2 linked regions of the Coturnix japonica genome follow. The protein of the gene in region 1 interacts with the protein of each later gene in a biochemical or structural test. Links are inferred from orthologs where the notes say so. Each region holds a gene or a part of one and is shown in the gene's direction. Other genes may lie near its edges.

Evidence for each region.
Region 2: the proteins of RFWD3 (region 1) and RPA2 form a complex in vitro, tested with the Homo sapiens proteins (3 studies listed by BioGRID, with this or other methods). The link is inferred for Coturnix japonica from reciprocal best matches to the Homo sapiens genes RFWD3 and RPA2.

What each region holds. Positions count from the first base shown.
Region 1 is NC_029526.1:770,857-775,313, forward strand, and holds the start of RFWD3 (E3 ubiquitin-protein ligase RFWD3), read left to right. Parts: upstream 1-1,570; 5' UTR 1,571-1,625; intron 1,626-1,968; 5' UTR 1,969-2,190; coding exon 2,191-2,227; intron 2,228-3,398; coding exon 3,399-3,783; intron 3,784-4,457. Other genes in the region: MLKL (mixed lineage kinase domain-like protein), read left to right, coding at 1-74, 260-309, 637-893. UniProt on the Homo sapiens protein: E3 ubiquitin-protein ligase required for the repair of DNA interstrand cross-links (ICL) in response to DNA damage. Plays a key role in RPA-mediated DNA damage signaling and repair.
Region 2 is NC_029538.1:1,359,246-1,363,616, reverse strand, and holds the start of RPA2 (replication protein A 32 kDa subunit), read left to right. Parts: upstream 1-1,476; 5' UTR 1,477-1,588; coding exon 1,589-1,604; intron 1,605-1,691; coding exon 1,692-1,786; intron 1,787-1,974; coding exon 1,975-2,076; intron 2,077-2,209; coding exon 2,210-2,323; intron 2,324-2,756; coding exon 2,757-2,831; intron 2,832-3,173; coding exon 3,174-3,287; intron 3,288-3,601; coding exon 3,602-3,709; intron 3,710-3,887; coding exon 3,888-3,982; intron 3,983-4,096; coding exon 4,097-4,181; 3' UTR 4,182-4,371. Other genes in the region: SMPDL3B (acid sphingomyelinase-like phosphodiesterase 3b), read right to left, coding at 27-124, 1,058-1,329. UniProt on the Homo sapiens protein: As part of the heterotrimeric replication protein A complex (RPA/RP-A), binds and stabilizes single-stranded DNA intermediates that form during DNA replication or upon DNA stress.

The sequences.
Region 1 (4,457 bases):
ATGTTGGCTTACATTGCCCCTGAGAACCTGATGGACGTCTATTACCCCTACAAGAGGTCCTGTGAGATATACAGGTATGTCTGCCCCACAGACCCTCCTGGGTGCGATGCCAGTGGGCAGATGTCAAGCTGTCAAGCTGTGGATGGAGGCCAGGTTTAATCAGACATTATTATCAGGTGTAGACCCCAGCCCTCTCCATTAGAGATGTGTACGATGTGGCGGGATGAACAGTGAGAAATTCTTGCTTGTCTTTTTCCAGCTTTGGGATTGTGCTGTGGGAGATTGCAACCTCCAAAATCCCATTTGAAGGTGAGACAGAAGTTGTCTATGGCCCTGTGTAAAAAACTCAGCATCCCATAGCATGTGGGTCCCAGCACCTGGGTCTGCATGACATCTTCACGGCTTCTGCACATGGTTAAACCACAAGAATGCAAGAAAGGTTGTCTCTATTTGTTGTTCCCATGCAGTGAAGCATTAAGGCATCCTGTTTCGATGAGGCCTAGTGGTGTCACAGCAAAGACGGGGCAGTTTATTACAGACATAGCTTGCGTGGCCCCTCTGCTGGCTCCTCCATGGAGGAGGCTGCGGGATGGCTTTGGTGGGTTCCATATCTTCTAATGTCCGTGTTCCATTTAGGCTGCTCTCTCCAGGAGATCAGGGACAAAATCTGTGACCGGCAGTTCCAGGACCCAGTCGGGGAAGATTGTCCTGAAGAGATGGAGAAAATCATCAACCAGTGTCGGGCCTTCGATCCGTTCCAGCGCCCGTCTGCTGAGCGTGAGTGTCCTGAAGGCATTCCCCACATGTCAGACACCTCCGTGGTGAATCTGTGCCTTGTTTGCCATCGGATTTTGCCCAGTTTTGTCTCTTTGGATCCCCCCTTGTCCTGCTGACACCGCCAGGCCTCCTAAGAGCTGGTTTCCTTCTGTCTCCTCATAGAGACCATTCACACAACAGCGTTTATCCTCACCACACAGCCTGCTCTGCTCTGTTCAGGCTAACACTGACCTTACCTTCCACAGAGATCGTGGACCTGCTGGCTGACCTGGAGAAGAGGAGGTATCAGGGCATCTAGCTGCAGAGAGCCTCAGCAGGCCGCCCAGACTGGCCTCCCTGCCTTAAATATATGTTTAAATATATGTTTATTTGTTTAACTAAGACTGGAAGATCTCTGAGTAGCGGCTGCTTCGCGTCCTTCGAGGCCCGCGGGTGAGGCCTAAAGGCCTCTAGGCCCCGTTGCCACAGCAACCCCGATTTGAATCCCCTCCCGCTCCCGCTTACTTCGTCCCGGCGGCGCCTCCCCCAATCAAAACGCACTTCCTGTCTCTTGGTCCCCGCCCTTTCCGTCCCTCGAGGATCTCACCGTCCAATCAGACGGGCAGCTCTATCTCGACTGACCAATCAGAGCACGCCTCACTTCACTCTCAAGTCCGTTCAGTCTCCTCCTCCCCAGTCCGTTCTCTGGGGCAGACTGACTGAGCGCTCGGCCAATGAAAATCCCCATAGCTTTCGGCTCACCCAATAGAAGCGTCAGCAGTGGGAGCGTCGGGCCAATAGGGCTGAGGGGGCGGGGCGGCGCGCTGCTCGAGCGGCGCTGGCGGGCGGCAGCTGTGGGCCGCGGTGAGGTGGGTCCGGTCCGGTCCGGTCCGGTCCTCGTCTCTCTCTTCCCTTCTCGTGGTTCCGTTGACCGCGGCGGAGCTGCCGCCCGTACCGAGCCCTGCGGGAGCTGCCGGGACGGTGCGGGGGGAGGCCGGGGGGCGGCGGGTGCAGCGCGGAGCGGCTCCCCCGGGGCTCGGCCTGGGGCTGCCATGGAAGGCCCGGCTGGGCACAGCGCTGCGCTGTGTGGGTAGCGGCCCATGTTGGATCCCTGTGGGAGGAACCTCCTTAACCCCCCAGCACGGCTCCGCTTGCTCCGAGTCTGGCCACGTACCGATGGTTTCTTTGGGTTCTGTTGCTCCCCCCATACAGGTGCAGCAGCCGGATGGAGGTGCGGAGCTGTGCTGCTCTCGGAGTCCTGTCCGTCCGCCAGGGGAAGCTGCTGCTCCAGCGCTGCTGCTGCCCCGATCCCTCGGACCTCGAGACCTTCTGCCCGCCCCCCACACGCACGGACGGGCGGTGCCGTGCACGCGGCTCTCGGGGGAGCCGCTGACTTTTGCCCTTCCAGGAAGGCACCAAAGTGTCACGGTGAAAATGTCAACGTTAACATCTTCCCGAAGAAATACTTGGGGTTTGCTATCCGTGCTTTAGGGCTTCCAGTGTGAGGAAAATAAGGGTTTGCATGTGGCAGCCTTAACACAAACCTGAGTTCAGTGCAGCAGGACTGCCTTAACTCTATCTGTGACTGGTCAGATGGGAGATGGGGCTTGGTGTCCTTTCTGGCCTAGTTTAAGCTGAAATATTGGTTATGAGGAAATCCTCTTTTCCCAAGGAGCACTGAGGCAGTGGCACAGCTGCCAAGAGAAGGGGGGAATCGCCATCCCTGGAGCGGTGGGGTTGTGGCACTAAGGGACATGGGCATGGGGGGGGTGCAGTGGGACTTGGATGTCTGAGAAGTCTGTTCTAACTTTAGTGATTCTAATGGTAATTAAAGTAGTGTTATAAAGTGATTAGTAAGAGTTTGTTAAAAGATATATCAAAAGTTGTTAGTATAACCACCTCTTGTGGATCTTGTGTACGTTCTCTGGTTATTCTTTGTAGCAAAACACCCTTGTTTGTTCACACAGCGCCTACCTTGAGAAGTTTTGGTGCGCACTTTGGGCTCTCAAATAATGTTGAAGGTCTGCTGTCCCCAAAGCCAAAGCCTTTCAGATTTGTGATTGCCAAAACACGTGGGAGGCAAATGATCAGCAGCAGATTGCAGAACTTAATCTGCTCTCTCCTCCCCCAAATTGTTTGCTTTGATTTGTTTAGTTCATGAAATAATCTAAGCTTTTCTGTGTTGCAAGACTGCCTGCCTGCAAAGGATTGGATGCTCTACAGAGCTCATTTCTATTTGTATTTGTCACTGTTTCTGCAGTGGTTTTGCCATGGAGAATTTCTAAGATATCTTCAAACTTTCCTCCAAGATCCAAAGGCATTTACTGGAAAGTAATAGAACAAGAATTACTGAACTTTCCATGCTCATCCAAAGGTTTACCTAACAGGATTTGCAGTGTGTCTTTGGTGCCAGCTACTGCTGAGCTAAAGGCTTCAGACAAAGAACTCAGGAAGGTGCCAGCTCACATACATGTATCTACTTGAGACAGTCTCTCTGTGCTGTATGTCAAAGGCAAAATGGCAACTTGTCTCTAGTCTGAATGTTGAAGGCTTTTGAGTGCTGCAGCCAGTTTCTGCTGCCATCAGGCCACTAGTGGGGCGCAGGCTTGTGAATGCTCATAGCTTTCTTTTGTTTTTGACAGAAATGGCTCAGGAAGAGATGGAAGTTGATCTCCAACCAGTGGTGAACTACTCCCTAGAGAACCAGGGGACGCTTTCTGCAGAGCCCGCTGCTCACACGGCACTGTCCTCTCAGGTTGCAGCGCTCAGCAGCGGAGGAGGCAGCCCTATCGTTCTTTCTGACGATGAAGTTGTTGTCGTATCGACTGCTGATGCCGCAAGGGAAGCAGCTGCTGATCCTGACCAGCAGGCGAATCCTCCCTCAGCTCTCATCGGACTGCTGAGGCTGCAGGGGGCGTCTGACCAGCACCAGCTGCTGCCTGGGCCTCAGGTTGTGCTGCGTCTGCGAGTACGAAGGGCTCGCAGGCAGCCAAGAGTCGGTGGTTCCCAGAGGACAGTCAGTGCCAGGTAAAGCAGAAGTGAAGCTGTGTTTGAGCTGTGCCCTTACCAGTTCTCATACTGGTTTAAGACTGCCTCGATGCCTGGCTTGTAGAACCTGGCTTGGTCCAGGTGTGTGACTGTGGTCAAATTCCGAGCACCTCAAAAACCTCTTAAGCTCACTAATGACTCTTTGATTTCATCTGATGATGTCTTTGCTTTTTGTTAAATGAACCCGCCCTTCTCAGTTCTTCTGTTGGCAGCGTTGTTGTTGACTGGAGCACGTTACCTTGCTCTGCCAGATTCCTGTTGGTGCTTCCTGCAGCAGATCTGGCTCTCAGCAGTCCCAGCCAGCATTTAGCTCAGTGGAGCTTGCACTCTCTTCTGCGTTTCACCTTTGATTTGAGGACTGCCTAATTAGGTGACAGTTGCTGCAGAAACTTTTGTAAAGAAATGCAAACTGACATTTATCATCTTTTTTCCTCTGTAGATTTTTGTAATCTCCAAGCAAAGTGAAAATTCTGTGTTTAGGGCTGTTAGGGATGAGTTTAAAAGGTGATAAGTGGGCACGCTCCCCAACTAGAAAAAGAATCCTATTTCTGGTTTGTTTGGTTTCTGTCTCATCTTTTGCAAATGCCAGGGGTGAAGTTATAATTAACTGGAGTGCTGGCTTGAAATTCAGTGAGACCGAGATCTCTTCTCCT
Region 2 (4,371 bases), on another chromosome or scaffold:
CCCCTTCCCATCCCCTCCCATCCTACCTGGAAATACCTGTTTGATCAGCGAGGTCAGGTTTGCGATGATGTGCAGAACCTTCTCTTCTCCGAGCTGCTCATCAGGGACATGAGGAGTATCATCCCTGGAACAGCAGATAGAACATAGACGTTACTTGTGACTATCAAGGCACGTGGGCAGAGCAAGGCACTGAACGTGCACCTGAGCCTTGTTTTCTTCCTTATCTCATAGGAGATAAAGTCAAGGTCTTTGGGGTAGGAACTTGCACTGTGCACATGGGCTGAAGCAGAGAAGCAGGAGGAAATGGCTCCAAGTGGAAAGCTGCTCCGTTTGGTTCTACTTTATATGTGGGCACTAGAAGCAGGTTTATCCCATTTCAGCACATTTATCCCATTCCAACGTGTTTAATAGATGCTACAGCTGAGTGGGGCATCACGCAAGAGAATATAATGCAACCTGGGGTCAGAACTGGATAACAGCAGGGAAGCAAAAGCTGCCTGCGTTCAATAGAATGAAACAGAATTGAAAAGGAACCCAATGAATGCTCCAAGTAAGGTGAGGATTTAACATGGCTACAGCCCATGGCAATAGACAGGAGGCATTTAACAGCTAAAGCCCACGGCAATAGATAGGGGGCATTTAACACAGCTAAAGCTGAGTCTATGGTAATAGACAGGAGGCATTTGACACAGCTACAGCCCATAGCAATAGATAGGGGGCATTTAATACAGCTAAAGCTGAGTCCATGGTAATAGATAGGAGGCATTTAATGCAGCTAAAGCCTATGGCAATGGATAGGGGGCATTTAACACAGCTAAAGCCCACAGCAATAGATAGAAGGCATTTAACACAGCTACAGCCCATAGTAATAGATAGGGGGCATTTAACACAGCTAAAGCTGAGTCCATGTAACAGACAGGAGGCATTTAATACATCTAAAGCCCACGGCAATGGATAGGGGGCATTTAACACAGCTACAGCCCATAGCAATAGATAGGGGCCATCACTTTGGGACTCAGCCCGCAGGGACTCAATACAATCGGTGCTGTTTCCTCACCCCGTCCATAGCACAAAGTCCGGCCGTGCCCGCAGCCGTTTCATGGCGCTCACAGCGGAGCTGAGCAGCGCCCAGGGCGCATCACATTCGTAGCTGCCCCACGGTCCCCCCGGTCCGGATCCCCCCGACGGGCAGCGCTGCCCGGCCGACAGCGCCTCCTCGTAACCGGGATCCCAGTGTAGGTCCGTCAGGTGCCAGAATGTCCCCGCCATCACCGCCGGCTGCAGCAGCACCAGCAGCGCGGCCGCCCGCACCGTCACCGCCTCCATCATTGAACCTTCACCTGCACGGCCCGCCCCGTCGGGGCACAGAGCCGGGCAGCGCCAGCAACCAACATGGCGGCGTCGGCATCAGCACCGCCGGAAGAAGGAGGGATGTGATTGGATCTTAGCGCTGGAAGAAAGAGAGAGGTGATTGGATCTCGCTATCGGAAGCTGGCGGAAGACGGAGGGCTGTGATTGGCTCCTGGTAGCGGGGCGCGGGACGCGGTGCTGGAGGAGCGGGTGGCTCCGCAGTCGGTGCTGAGGCGCCATGTGGGGCGGACACGGTGCGGGACGGGCGGGTGTGGGGGGATGTGGGGTGTGGGGTGTGAGATGGGTCTGCGCAGCTCACGGCTCCGATCATCCCTTCACAGGTAACTTCGATGGCGGTTACGGCCCCGCGGGGGGATACACGCAGTCACCGGGAGGATTCAGTTCACCAGCGGGCGGGCAGGCCGAGAAGAAGCAGGTAGGGCTGGGCTATGGGGCTGGGCTATGGGGCTGGTTATGGGGCTGGGCTATGGGGCTGGGCTATGGGGCTGTGGGGCTGGGTTGTGGGGCTGTGGGGCCGGGCTGTGGGGCTGTGGGGGCCGGGCTGTGGGGCCCGGGCTGTGGGGCTGTGGGGCCCATCACGTCCCCCTTCACCCCCCCCCACAGCGCAGCCGCTCGCAGAGCATCGTGCCCTGCACCGTGTCGCAGCTGCTGGCAGCCGAGCAGGTGGACGAGGCGTTCCGTATCCATGACGTGGAGATCTCGCAGGTGGGCACCCCCTATAGTCCCACACCCCCGTATAGTCCCACACCCCCTATAACCCCACACCCCTCTCCCATTAAGCTGGTTCTGATGGGCCGCTGGTGTCTCACCCCGCCCCCTGACCGCCCTCCCCCCGCAGGTCACCGTGGTGGGCATCGTTCGACACGCAGAGAAGGCGCCCACCAACATCCTGTACAAGGTGGATGACATGACAGCGGCACCCATGGACGTGAGGCAGTGGGTTGACACCGATGTAAGCAATGGAACCGTCCTGAGGTGCTGCTATGGGGGTAAAACAGTGTGTGAGCTGCATCAATGGATGTCCCTGTTAGAGCCAGGCTGGGTGCTGCGGTAACAGTGATCAGTTGGCAGTGAATGTGGCTGGAGATGAACAGCTGCACTGAGCTGAACAACTGGAAGTAATTAAAGAGATTCTCAGTTGGTTTATCTACAGGTTTGCCATAAGATCCTGTGACTGCTCCCAGAATGCACAGCTGGCACTGATTGCTGTCAAGCCGACAGTGCATCCAAATAAGGATTTCCCATCTGTAGCTACATTTACCTGACTGCTTGTACTGATTGAATGGGTGTCGTTTGTGTTTGATTGAGATAGCAGTCCTAAAGTTGTTTAGTATGATAACTGAGAGATGGATCAGCAGCTCTTTGCTTTCTCCTTTCTCTGTAAGGAGGCAGGTAGTGAGAATATCGTGGTGCCCCCAGGAACTTACGTCAAAGTTGCTGGTCATCTTCGGTCTTTTCAGGTAAGGTCATGTGCGACTCCACAACAAACAAGGCTGGGGCAGCAGCATAAAGGGTTGGTGATGTGGCAGAGCAGGAACAATAATCACAGCATGTTATATAGGAGTCAACTCATAGCAGTCATCCTTGAGATCATGCTGTATGTGTTAAAGCAAAGAGCAATTGCCAGCTGGATCAAAACTTGCCCAGACATGGGCATTTAAGTTGAAAACCTTTGCTAACTAAAGGCAGATGGACTCCCCACCCGCTGCTGCTCCTGTTCCTAACTAGAGTGCTTAAGTTCTATGGCAACCATGTTCCTGTTGCTCCCCTGTTAATGGTATTTGCTGTCTTTTCTCTGGAAGAACAAGAAGAGTTTGGTGGCGTTTAAGATCATGCCTCTGGAAAACATGAACGAGGTCACCACGCACATACTTGAGACTGTTAATGCGCATATGATCCTCAGGAAGAACCTTATGGTGTGTAGTTGAAGGTCATGGTTCCATTACAGCTGTTACTGGTGATCTAAAGGGAGGGACCTCTGGGTTCAGTGGGAAACTGTGCAAGTTGTGGGTCTGGAAAGGCTGAAGGGCTGCAATGGGGTGTGATGAGAGTCTTGATTTCCATTGAGAGACATTCTCATTGCGGCCAGTTTTACTTGGTTTCTGTTGGAAATCTATCTTTAATTATTATGCCTCTGAAAGAAGGCTAAGTCCTTCATGTCCTTCATGCCTTGGGTTTGCAGCAGCCTGTGCACAACAGTTCTTTTATTCAATTACTCTTGTAATTGCAGTCAGCATCAAGAGCACCTCAGTCGTTTACCTCTGTTGGAATGAGTGACGTGGGGGCCTATGGTGGAGGCAGCCTGCCTGTCAATGGACTCACAGCACATCAGAGTCAGGTGGGTGCCAGCACCTTCTCCAGAGCACAGCTGACACAGTGGGTGCTGCTGCTTTGTGTTGTAGGACCAAGAAATAAAAGCTCAGTTATTCTTGGAAGGCTGATAATCCTTTTTTGGCCCCGCTGTTCAGTGCTGATAGAGCTGAGCTGTGTGCTGATGATGGTTCACGTTCTTCCAGGTGCTGAACCTGATTAAAAACTGCCATTCTCCAGACGGGATGAGTCTCCAAGAGCTGAAACTTCAGCTCCACAATGTCAGCATACCAACAATCAAGTAAGTGTGTAGAAGCTGATGTTTTTGGGGGCGTCAGGTCCCACGTAGGTGGGAAATGGTTGAGAGGAAGGCATTGATGTGAGCCAGGTACTAATGGACTTCTTTCCTTCCAAGGCAAGCAGTTGAATTCCTTAGCAGCGAGGGACACATCTACTCTACTGTGGATGATGATCACTATAAGTCTACGGATGCTGACTGAAGCTCTTTCCACCTGGATTTGCTCCCAGCCAAGTGCTTCTCGGTGTCTCGAATTAACCTGCTGAGCTTTGCAACTTGGAAGGTGATGTTTGCTTTCTAACATGTGCAAGTCCCACTTATTCAGTGATTCCCCACACCCCGAAATTCAAGGACAATGTAGCCAAGAGAAACGTTCTGTTAATGTACAGTAA